Linked DNA regions of Schizosaccharomyces pombe. The protein of the gene in region 1 interacts with the protein of each later gene in a biochemical or structural test. Each region holds a gene or a part of one and is shown on either strand. Other genes may lie near its edges.

What was found. The genes of interacting proteins can lie anywhere in the genome.
Region 2: the proteins of dip1 (region 1) and arp2 form a complex in vitro, tested with the Schizosaccharomyces pombe proteins (one study listed by BioGRID).
Region 3: the proteins of dip1 (region 1) and arp3 form a complex in vitro, tested with the Schizosaccharomyces pombe proteins (2 studies listed by BioGRID).

Annotation. Positions count from the first base shown.
Region 1 is NC_003423.3:2,340,840-2,344,896, forward strand, and holds dip1 (endocytosis protein Dip1), read right to left. Parts: upstream 2,332-4,057; 5' UTR 2,312-2,331; coding exon 2,257-2,311; intron 2,162-2,256; coding exon 2,072-2,161; intron 1,952-2,071; coding exon 972-1,951; 3' UTR 563-971; downstream 1-562. Other genes in the region: coa6 (cytochrome c oxidase subunit VIb related protein), read left to right, coding at 1-10, 157-249; cwf14 (G10 protein), read left to right, coding at 2,865-2,896, 2,967-3,346, 3,391-3,419; msh2 (DNA mismatch repair protein), read right to left, coding at 3,618-4,057.
Region 2 is NC_003424.3:4,781,246-4,785,302, reverse strand, and holds arp2 (ARP2/3 actin-organizing complex actin-related protein subunit Arp2), read right to left. Parts: upstream 2,282-4,057; 5' UTR 2,249-2,281; coding exon 2,201-2,248; intron 2,177-2,200; exon of another isoform or gene 2,151-2,176; coding exon 1,026-2,150; 3' UTR 538-1,025; downstream 1-537. Other genes in the region: Golgi 4,6-pyruvylated galactose (PvGal) residue biosynthesis protein Pvg5, read left to right, coding at 1-141; protein Fta6, read left to right, coding at 3,030-3,060, 3,108-3,256; pheromone p-factor receptor Mam2, read right to left, coding at 3,569-4,057.
Region 3 is NC_003424.3:348,498-352,833, reverse strand, and holds arp3 (ARP2/3 actin-organizing complex actin-related protein subunit Arp3), read right to left. Parts: upstream 2,402-4,336; 5' UTR 2,358-2,401; coding exon 2,323-2,357; exon of another isoform or gene 2,260-2,322; coding exon 2,236-2,259; exon of another isoform or gene 2,164-2,235; coding exon 1,635-2,163; exon of another isoform or gene 1,540-1,634; coding exon 940-1,539; exon of another isoform or gene 875-939; coding exon 779-874; 3' UTR 538-778; downstream 1-537. Other genes in the region: SPOM_SPAC630.04C (uncharacterized protein), read left to right, coding at 1-407; GATOR2-SEACAT complex ubiquitin-protein ligase E3 subunit Sea4, read right to left, coding at 2,922-4,336. UniProt on the Schizosaccharomyces pombe protein: Functions as ATP-binding component of the Arp2/3 complex which is involved in regulation of actin polymerization and together with an activating nucleation-promoting factor (NPF) mediates the formation of branched actin networks.

The sequences.
Region 1 (4,057 bases):
AAAATCTTGGGTATGAATCGCCAAAATTGTAAATGAAATCTGGCTGGTATGAAATGAAACGAGAAATTCCGATTTTGCAATTCTCTTGAATTATTACCTTAAAGATCTCCATTACTTCTTTTTTTCTTTCTCACTAACATTGTTTTTCTGGATTAGGTCAATTACTTTCTAAAGTTTCGAGTTCAACAGCATCAGCAACAAGAAGCTATCAAAAAACTCGAGGCTCAAGGCGCAAAAAAGTTGAATTAGCTGTTCCTGAATACTCTCATACAATCTCATTGCATCTAGGTTTCCCCCATCCTAATATGTTTTCATTTTTATGCTTAAGTACTTATTACTCATCTTCAACTTTGGCAAATCAAACAAAGCGGTATTTTTTTTTTCCTGCCCTTCCTCTGTTTACTCTGTTCTTTCATTTTTGATGGTGAAATTTTTAACTGAACCCTTTCAAAAGAAAGTTTTGTGTTTACGAATAATCACCTATTTTTTCAAAGACGACGATGAATCTAAATTACGTTGTCTAACTTGCACATTTACGATCACCGAAAGTTACAGAAAATGTTAGATGATTGATAGGGGTATTATTAATTAAGCATTCCTATATTAGTTTATGCCATTCTTCACGTTTGTTATTTAAAAATTTTCTTCACTTCTTCTTTTGCAATGGATATGTCTAACTAGAGATTTTCTATTCATTGATATGAAAATTGCAGTGTTTAAACTTTTAGCATTTTCTTTGCATTCCAAAGAAATTTCTCCAAGTTTTATCAATTTTCTGCAAGAAGTAATACGCCAAAACTGGCTTTTCAAAAAACAACAGACTGGCAAAAGGAGAGAGAAAGTATTAAAAAAAAGAGTGGAAAGGAGATTGGTTAAAATTTGCAATTCTTTTTGGTTGATCTGACAATAAATGAAGGAAACGAGTGAGGTGCTTTAAAAAAATAAAAAGTTTTTCAGTAGTAGAATAAAAATTATTGAGCGGTTCCTAATGACTTCATCTCTTGTTGAAGCCACGGTACTTCTAAAACACGTATGGCAACATCTGTAGTACGTGCATCTTCCATGTTGCTGCTTTTTGAGTGAGAAATTAAGACATTATTGACCGCGTCGACTATACACTTAGTTTTGTAATGAGGTGGATGGCGCACCTGTGTATTTTCAAGCAAAGGAATCAAAACTTGCAAATATGCATACCGAAGATCCGAAAGCTCATCGGGAATATTGTTTATTTCGCGTATGAATATATCAATTAGGACATTGAGATCATTGGTATAGAATATCTCATACGTAGCGGGAGTTGTAAAAAGAAGGAATAGTTGTTTTAGTATTAACATTCGAGAGCGTGGATCCTTTTCTCGATTTAGAGTGAAAACTAGGCCTTCACTGTAGATACCGTTATCCACTTTGGAAGAGCTCAGCAAATCCATTATGCCATTTGCGATTTCAAACGAACCTTTGGAAGCAAGCCGAACAAGCATAAACTGTTCATTGATGCTAAGCAATGTCAAGACGCACATTCCAAAACTGTCCATGTCCTCATCATTCCAAGCTTCTTCCGACGTTTTGAATAGGTTTACTAAAAAATATTCATCAATTGCGACTAAGTCGGTCGGTGAAAGTCGTCTCGAGCGACAAATATAGTACACTAAGAATAAAGCATAACGAAAAGATGTAAAAGCAACATTTTCTGAACGATCCTTGAACTGTTTCATTGCCTTGATCAAGACGGGAATGAACCCCGTAGAAGCCAACAAACGCAAGCAGTACTCATTCTCTTGAATTTCGGATTGAAAGACAATGATTATGAATTTCAAAGTTTGTTGTTCTTTCAAGAAAAAAAAGCAATCATAGAAAATACTTAAAACGGCGTTTTCGTCTAGTTGATAAAGCGGACTATTGAGGAACTTTTCCATACATCTCTGCAATTGGAATTCTGTAATTAGGTACGGTTCTATTGAATTTATTTTGTTAGATAAGATGTTCTATAAAGAGACAAACACTCAATTTCTTTGTATTTCATCCATAGGAAAAACACGGAAAATTGTGCTTCCCCAATTCTCCAAAACATTACCTCCATATTTGTTGATAAAAGAAAGAAACTTTGAAACACCAATTTCCAGTTCATTTTTTTCGTATGGTATAGTTAAAAGTTCGTCAATTTCTGTCACCAAATGTTAGCGTCAACGGGAATACTATTTAGCCAGGATAATGAATCCCAGGCACATTCAAGTTTACAATTATGAATAAATTGCATACCCGCCAAAAATTGCTTTTCATTCTCTAAATTATAAAACACATCCGTGAACTCCATGTGGAGGTTAGGGAAGGTTTAATTGCCGCTTTCTCATTATCGAGCCTAGTATTCAATAGACAAAATTCTCGCTAATATCCATCGATAATCAACTTTAATATATGATTAGTAGTCAACACAACAGAGCGTCAATGTTATACCATGAAAACAGTATTGTAGTATTATAGTATACAAATGCATCTGGTTCCCTTTTGGCCATATGTTAAGGTATAAAATATAGTGGAGACACAAATTCAAAAATTCTCAATTATCCTCAATTGAAGAGGCTATAATTTAATTAACGGAGAAAAAACTTAGTTTCTATAGTTAAGAATATCTTGCAACAGTTTCAATCGCGGCAGTCTATTTTACAAGGAATTTACACTGGATTCTCACAAATCCAACTTGCCCATAAGTACACTACCACCAAATAAGTAAAAGGATAAAAACTACCCATCACTAGATTTCATTTTATCGGTTTCTTTATATTTAATCTCTTTAAAGCAAGCATTCCTTATTCTGTGTTGGTTTATTGAAGAAAAGTCGTAGTTTGCTTAAAAAATATTCTGTTATCATGCCTCGTCTTCGAACGTCAAGAACCAAGCGGTATGTATACCAAGTATTTTCCTTGTTACCTTTATTTTTACCTACGAAGTAAGATTCTAATTAGCTATAGCCCTCCTGACGGATTTGATGAAATAGAACCCACCCTTATTGAATTCCAAGATCGTATGCGTCAAATTGAGAATACAATGGGAAAGGGAACTAAGACGGAAATGCTAGCACCGATTTTTCAACTTCATCATCAGCGCAGTCGTTATATATACGATTTATACTACAAACGGGAAGCCATATCTACCGAACTTTACAACTGGCTGCTAAAACAAAATTATGCCGATGGAAATTTAATCGCCAAATGGAAAAAACCAGGATACGAGAAACTTTGTTGTCTGCGCTGTATTCAAACCGCTGAGTCAAAATTTGGTTCAACGTGTATATGTCGTGTACCTAAATCAAAACTTGATAAAGATCAACGTGTGAGATGTACTCATTGTGGTAAGTAAAGAAGTGCTATTGCTACCAGTTGCTAATGAAAATAGGTTGTAATGGTTGTGCAAGCTGTGATTAATTGGAAAACTAGTGGTTCGTTTCCCATTTATATCTTTTTATTTGGTTATTATGGCAAATGAAACAGTTTTGGGTTATAAAATTCATTGATCTATGGCTTTTCCTCGTTTTAGTAAAAAATTATTTTATTCATAAAATGCGCTTCCAAAAAACATGTACCTTGGTTGAATTCTTTCAATTAGTACCTTGCTCACATTCTTCATGAGGAAACCTCATTTGTGGATACCCTGGATTGTAGCCAGTTGTTGGAATTGATTTGCTGTGCGAATGAGCCGATGACTTTTTGAAATTGGTCCATCATTTGTTGCTGAGTCATTTCTGGTTTGACGTTGCTACGCCATTGTCTCATTATATCACGTACAATTGCCATACCTTCTTTTTTAGATTTCACTTCTTGAGTATCCCCTTGGGCTCCAGAGTCTTCAGCTTCTAATTCTGCGGCTTTGTTGCTTGCCATTTCAATAATCTTGGGAGGGAAGTGCGCAAGTTTAGCAACATGGATTCCAAAACTCCGATCACTAGCTCCTTCACAAACATTATAGAGTAAAGCTACATCCTTCGATTCTGAATCACCTACATAGGCTGTAACATGCAAATTTTTGACAGTAGTGATTTCTTCTGATAGTTTGGTCATTTCAT
Region 2 (4,057 bases), on another chromosome or scaffold:
TATTTACTCGAAAACGATGACGTGGAAGATGCTTATTATGAACGACAGTGGATGCAGGCGTTCCAGCGGAAAAATGTTGTTGCTGTAGCTGAGGAACTTCAAACAGCTCTTCGAATAATTGAACAATGGAAGCAACTTTAAATTACTTCTTCTGGATTCTTCTCTTATTTACTCCAGTCGTTTCTCCTTTTTTATTCTTTGCTTTTGTTCTTTGTTTTTATATTTTCATTTTCATTACTGTTGTTCTATGTTGTTCATTTTTTATTCACATATTTTCGGTTTCACGTTGTTTTTCATCTGTCGGTTTCACGAGGCATTTTGTCTTCGTAAACTACACTTTTATATTTGTTCTTATTTATTTAAGGTTGTTTCAATGTTCCGTCGTTTTGTTTCCTAATGAATTCCTCTTACACCGTTATGAGAAATTTCAGTCGATTTGTGCGGCAATTTCTACTCCTCTTATGCTGTCGTGCTTAATTAAGAGCATTAATTTTTCTAGGCTGTCTTGGACACATTATTAATGGTTTATATATACAATTTAACAAAAAAATTAGGTCGGTAATTTATTTATTTACAATAATAGAAATTCCTGCTTTTAAATGTTACTCATGTTTTCCGTGGATGTCAATCTTCAGAAAACTAGAAGCTCAGAATGTCAAGCTATTTTTGTTAAAACTAGGACCTAATAAGAAAACGCCCTAAATGGGCGAAACCAAATATATACGTCACGGGAGTCTAGTCATTAAGTCTGTTGCTATTGAAGTGTACTAGTGCATATTGAGTAAATAAGATCGTTGGTTACAAAAAGGTTGTATAAACATCAAGCATAAGTAAATAGCCCATCAAAAGAAAAAGGAATCAAAAAGGCAAATAAAAGAAGGAATCGTACCGTCTTTTAACGATGGTCGGATTAAACAGAAAACGTAATCATTTAGCAAAGTTTGAAATTTATGAATCAAACTTCGTATAACTCAATTTACTAGCACATAAAAAGAAAGAAACAGAACATTAAACATAAATATACTCTAAGTAGTTCTAGGACCCAATTTGTCTAGTGCACGTACTCCATACTCCTCCCATTCTGCCTTGGACACCCACATGTGATCGTTTTGAGCCATGATATCTGCCAATACGGCGCCGCCGATAAACACGGCATGACGGCGACGAGGAGCGTCTTCAATCTTAACCTTAAAGTTAGGCAAACGTGCGGGATCTCCATGAAGAACACGCTCAAACCATAACTGTTTTATTTCCTTTTCAAGACGTGAAGGAAGACCGGCATACATACTGCTACCACCTGAGAGAACAATGGCGCGATACAAATACTTGCGAATGTCCACATCAGCTGCTTGGATAGTGTCAAAAATAAATTCACTCAAACCTGGTTGTTCACTACCAACCAGATGAGGTTGAAATAGACATTCTGGACATTCATAACGCTCAGAACCAACTTTAATAACTCTTCCATCAGGAAGGGTGTAATTACGCATTAAAACGGTAGTTTCTTCGCTAAGCTTATGGTCCAATTCCAAATCATAACTAACGTAACAAAGTTTTTCTTTCATCTCGCGAACAGTTTCAAAGTCTGCTGTACGATTGAAAGCATAACCCTTACGAAGAAGTAAGCTAATCAAATAGCGGGTAGCATCCCTACCGGCAACGTCAAGGCGACCAACTAAATGATTTAAAACAACACTTTCATAGACAGGCACAATATGGGTTACACCGTCACCAGAATCAACAACTACACCACTGCTTAATCCCTGTGCGTATAAAGAGAGAACGGCCTGAATGGCGACATAAACACCACCAAAACCATACCGTTCAAACATTGTCTCACACATTTTTTCGCGGTTAGCAACAGGATTCATAGGGGGCTCGGTCAACAAAATTTTCCTACCCCTCGGATCAATTTTTAGTTTTTCAAAGAAAGTGTAATCCCAAAGTTGATTCATCTCTTCAAAATCACGGATAATGCCATTTTCCATGGGATATTTTACTTGAAGTAAAGATCTCACCGCCTCAGCTTCATCACCGACCATAACATCTTTAATTTGAACATTTCCTGTTTTCTCTTCAGCACGTAAAATGGGCCTTCCTACGATGGATGGGAATTGAAAGCGCGGAAAATTGTCTTTAGCATATCCGACCTTGCTAACGTTAGTCACAGTGTAAACAAAGATTTAATTAAACTGATTACCTTCACAAAACCAGTTCCATTATCTAGAACAATGGGAGCAGACTCCATTTTATAAACGTCTCGTGTAGTTGGTGAAAGGTTAGTTCTTAAGTCCACCCCTATGTAATGTACCGGCGGTAACTATCTGCCATATACCGTATGACACAGCAGCACTGCAACTGTAGCAGAGCATTCGGTGATATATCGTAAATATGTAATATCGTAGGAAAGCGAAGTGCAGTAATCTTGAGAATTATAAAACAGAAATGAAGTATCTAAATTAATTTAACAATTGGCTGCAAAAAGAATAGCTCAAAGGTTTTTACGGTTAATGATCTTATCTTCTATTGTACTTAGCATTAGTATCGTTACCCCTTATACTCAAAGCCATAACTGTGCATTTATAATTGTTCGGCAGTAATGTATATTATCGCTTATTAGTTAAAAGATTCTTCGTTTCACATAGTATTACTATTATTTAAAAGAAAAACACGGACTCTATTTGTTTGTTTAATGTGCAGGTAACACTTCGATCGTTTATTATGAGATTGGTATGACTAGGAGCGCTGTGCAAAAATGAAGAATCGCGGAACCGATTTAATAAAGAATTTATTTCTCTAGTAACTAGATGTGTGCATTAAATTGAATACAAGACTTAAACAAAAGAATTATAATTATCGACATATACCATTATTGAATATTTGTCATCTGTTTACTGAAATAAGTGGAGCAATGCAATTTGAGAATAACACATATCGGTTTAAAGATCCTTATTATATTGCTATTACTAAATTAAGGAGTGTAACGTTTCGCAGCTAAAACATTTCGATACAATATTTGATAAAAATAAATGGAGGATAAATACATTTTATTGTCAGCAGGTTGGTTATAATTTTTATTTAATAGCTCAATACTTACGTGTATATAGTGGAAACGTTTAAATCACGTCTGGAAGAACTGCTAATGCAATCGGCCAAAGTACAAAAGCAAACGATGCTTAGAAAGGAATTAGCTTCTTCGATGAATGATATGGCTTCTACGGTACAAGAAGCTTTAAATAAAAAAAAAAGTTCGTAAGGTAAGCACTTGGAGACTCAAAACATTATAGTTCATTATAGATTACGAAGGCAGTTCATTCACTATTGTTTTAATAAGTGTTTGTGAAGTACGACTTGAAGTTTTCATGATAATAAGTTATTATAATCATATAATTTCATTGATGTTTATAGTAAACAATTGTTCATGAAGCGAAAAAAAAAAAACCATTAGAAAACTTCCCTCTGAGCAAATTATGATTACAAGCCTATCGTAAAAAAACCGTCTATGTTATTTGGGACTGTTATTGAGCCAGTATTAGGAATTATCAAAAAAGATACATTCAGGCGTAAGTTACGTCCACTTTTTAGTTTCAGATTCATCAGAAATCGAATAATCGTCACTGGGAGTATGTTTGATATCAAACGTTCTATCAACTCTAATCGAAACCTCGGTGGTTTCTCCTTGCGCAGATGAAGTTTTCATGCTTTGCAATTTCAGAGCTGTACTAGACGCCCATAAACTCGAAAGAGGAAGAGAAATGATTAGCAGACATTGAGTCATAGAGCTAAAGCCATCATACGTATGGATAAAACTATCTATTATAGTAAAGGTAGCTGGAACAATAAGACATTGGCAGCTAATAACTAAAATACACTGCATCGGACCAAATGGAAATTGCCCAATTTTTTTCCGTATTAATATGGCACGAAAGAGTTTGTATGAAAAAACACCACTGTGAAAAATAATGCTAAAAGCAAAAAGTATTTTAGCAATAAAGTAGGGCCAAGAGTATCCAACAATGGTCTTGCTGCTAAGTGGAGTTAACCATAACAGATACTG
Region 3 (4,336 bases), on another chromosome or scaffold:
CCCAGTTCTGGGGAAAAGTGTTGGTATTAACGTTTGGGATAATCTGCGTTGTGTTTGTCATATTTATGTTGCATCATGAAAGAATTAAAGCGTGTCGAACCATAATTTCTGCACGGGAACAGCAGAGAACACAACACTCAATTCACAGGAGAGAGCGCTCTTCTTCCGGAGCATCACAACAATTCGAACATCATGTTCGACAGACTGATTGCCTCCCTCTTTATGAACCTATTACTGCTCTTAACCAGCAGTACTTGAAAACTTTACCCACCACAAGCACACCTCCCCCGCCCGCAATATTTGATGAAAATGGTGAATTTGTCGGCGACGTTCCATCTGTTGCCGGTGCAATTGAACGCCCACCTTCTTATGAATCATTACCTGCTCCGCAAAATGATGAAGTTTAGTTTTTTTTATGATGACTACTTGATTGCTTCTGCTTTCTCTCAACAAATTCGTTGAGTACTTGTACACTTTCCATTTTATCCATCGTTCTTGAATAATAAAGTATTTATCAGGCGGAACCCATCGGTTTCATCCGTTTTCTTTTTTTTTCTCCTTTTACGTTATTAGTAATCACTATATTATTATTCTCATGGTTCTCATCATTATTATTTGGACAAGTTAATTATATACATCTTATTTGATATTGCTCAATGAAAAAGCCTGGAAACATAGCAAACCTCAAGTCTATTTCTTCTAAGGCTAATGCCTGCTCCATTAAACTTTTCATTTTAATCAGTAAATCCTATAGACGCAAAACTCATGATATATTTCATTAAAGAGAATTTCCAAAAATTTGGTACCTACGAGCAATGGAAGCACCATATTCTTCGTAATCTGCTTTGGTATGGCAATAGGATCCGAATTCAGGCTAAACATGTCAGTAAATCTCTACGGGTAAACTAAAAAATATACAAACATAAGATAATGACATACCGTTTGTGCTAGTAAACTGCCGCCAAACCAAACCGCATTTCGTTGACGTTTATGGGAGATAACATTAACGTCTACACCACCACTTTTAGCACCGGAGAGCATTTCACTGCGGTGAATACGCTCGTCAACAATCCGCTTGAGATCTCTTTGTAAGCGGTTGCCAAAGTTCTTAAACAAAGTACTACCACCAGAAAGGACAATGTTTTTATAAAGGCCTTTACGAACGTCAATGGGTGAGCTCTGTACGACGTTGTCCACAAGTTCCGGAAGAGGGGTCAAAAAATCGGAAGAAGCAATCTCAGGATTAAAAAATATTTCAGGTGCGAGGAAGCGTTCAAATCCTACATCAATAGTAGTAGAGTGTCCAGTAATTGATTCAGATGCATATTTTAAATAACGGTCGGGCTCACGATCAAATCTACTAAACTCCTTAACAATGTCCGGACAAACGTAGCAACATTCCTCTTTAATTCTTTCAGCAGTTTTGAGACTTGAATCAGGTTCATTGCGGTCACGTAATAAGGATTGAACAAAGTACGTAACATCACGACCAGCAAGTGGCATTGTCTTAATGGAAGAGCCGATAACATATCCTTCGGCCTAAGGTTTATCAGTTAGTAAAATTCGGGCATATATATATGCATTTAATGTTCAAAACTGTTTATCTAAGCTCGTATTAGATTTTTTATACATACAACAGGAATAATATGAGTAACGCCATCACCAGAGTCAACAACAGTACCGGTCAACGAACGATCAGTAACTTTTGAAGATGTCCAAGAGGCGGCAAGAGCCAAAACCGCTTGAACAGCAATGTAGAGTCCTGCACAGTTGAACGACTCAAACATAATCTCTGCAGTATTTTCACGGTTTTCAGGTGGATTCAAAGGAGGTTCGGTCAAAAGAAAATAATGGTCCTCTGGTTCACAACGTAAATATTTAAAGAGAGACTGTTGCCAAAAACGCTCCATATGGTCCCAATTTTCTATTTGTCCATGACGGATAGGATAGTCCAAAGAATATCCAGCAGACGCCTTTTTCAATGCATCGTTTCCAATAAAAAAGTCCAAGTCCTCAGTTGCCCTTTTGCTTGAGAGATGCCCACTGCCTTTCGAGGCCATGTAAGAAGGCTTTGATGAAACAGCCGGCCCTGAAGAAGCACCCGCAGAACGCGTCGCAATAACAGTGGGGAATACATAAGAAGGAGCATCGTTCCCAGCATAGCTGAAATTAAATTACTGTTAATAAATGCTCAAAAGAGAGATAATAACATCCTAAAACGACTATTACACATACCCAAGCTTGCTATAGCCGGTACCGCTAACAAATAAAGTTAGTAACTGATATTCACGAACAATTTAACTTCGCTACATCAATACTTACTTGTCCATTATAATGGGAACATTAAACGAAGCCATTGCTATTATTTTATGAAAAGGTAAGCGAAAGAGAAGTTGGTTCCAGTTGAAACTCTTAATATCGTCTCGCAACGGTCACCGATGTCGAATTACGTGGGTTAACGGGAAACATATGGTAATTTACGAGATGAGCCGATTACGTTAAATGCGAATGCCCGTATACAACCCACTTTGGATATCTTTACTAAGGCCAAATTAATTTACACAAAAAATTAAATATGTATTTCTTCAATACCAGTACCACCGGTTAAAATTACCAAGTTGCTAAGCTAGAAGACGCTTCTTGCTACTAGAAAATTAAATATTAACGATCTTGCGTTAATCCCTTTTCAGTAATAAAACTAACCACGTTGGTATTATCAAACAATTACAAATGTAGATAGCTATGTCGAATTTTTAAACAAATCATAGTATTAAAGACCTTATGCTTTAAACCTCTTAGCCTTAAACATTTTTAAGCTGTAATCATGGATTTTATATTCACTCATGTAGCAATTATTACTTGTGAACCAAACCATAAACTGTTATTTTAATGCTATTAATTAATGCTCTCATTTGCAATTTCTATTTCAGTTTGCATTCACAATCACAGTTAGGAACCGGACATATTGTATGAGTTGAAAACCATTCTGAAGCATGAGATGCGTGAGCTCCATGGCCACAATTTAGACAAAAGCTAAACCATAACCCAAATCTAGATTTCTGAAGATTAACTTCTTTGACATAGTTTTGAGGTTTTTGAGAAAAGTCATCTTTCTGAGGAACATCTTCATCTCCTAAAGAAAACCCACATACAGAGCACTTTGGAAGAGGCTGTCCGCAATGAGGACAACTTTTTCCCAAGTGTTTTGCTGGGCCTGCTTTACTGACACCTCGTTGAATTGGCGTTGGTAAATTATTACATTCATTCCTATTGGAGAAAGGAAAAATTGGTTTTCTACAAAAATTGCAGATAATGCGTATAGATGGCTCTGTAGCCTTTCTGGTTATTTCTCCTGTGTGATTTTTTGAGAGTTCTGTCCGAAAGATATCAAACTTTGCACGCTCACGGTAAAGTTTCCAGCGGTTTAGAAGCTCTCTATAACTTTCAGTCCAATCCTCTGCACGTTTATCCAGAAATTTCTTAGGTACCACAAATGCAGCAATCAATGCAGCAGTTTGAACATCGCTTGTATGATCAATGTAGTTCTGCAGAAGTTCCATTCCCAAAGGAGTTAAACCTGTAAGTAACAGGCCTTCTGGGTCGCCTGATTGCACTGTAGTGTGACATAAATCGCACAAATAATTACTCAAATCGTCATCTGGTAAAAAGCGAAGAGCAATTCCAAGACGATCTTTTAATGAGAGAGAAACTTCATCTAATACATCTCTCCAATCGGAGTTGGAAACATACGCAAATATTGCACGTAAGTATGGATCTTCCAATTCTGTACTTAAGTTACGAGACATTTCTTTCCACAATGAGTCACTTCCAAAGTTACTTAAGCCTTGCGATGTAATGTATCCGGCAACTGCTGTGGATATGGTCTTCTCCAGCTCATTCCCACTTGATAATATACGGACTACGTTTTCAATTTTTCCGTGGAAAAGTGCTAACCCAGCGGCTTTTACATGCTCATTCTTGCGAATCAGTCTTCTAATTTCCAACAACAAGTCATCATTTGACATTCCTAATCCACAGGCAAGTAAAGCGAGTTGGCGTAAAGGCCTTTTAGTTTGGATAGACGTAAATATATCTAAATCAAGTCTCTCAATAACATCTCTAGCAAGTCTTAAAATTTTTTTTTCTAAAAATTTGCTTTCTTTTGCTTCAAAAACATCGGACATGCTAGTCAATTCAGTATCCATAAACCAAATACCTAGTGCACCTTGATAGCTGAAATCTGTATCTCCTGTGTCTCCAAACAGTGATTCTTCTGATTGTCTATGGCTTAAGTGAATCCAAGACCATAGATCTTTTAAGTATAAATCAGAAACTA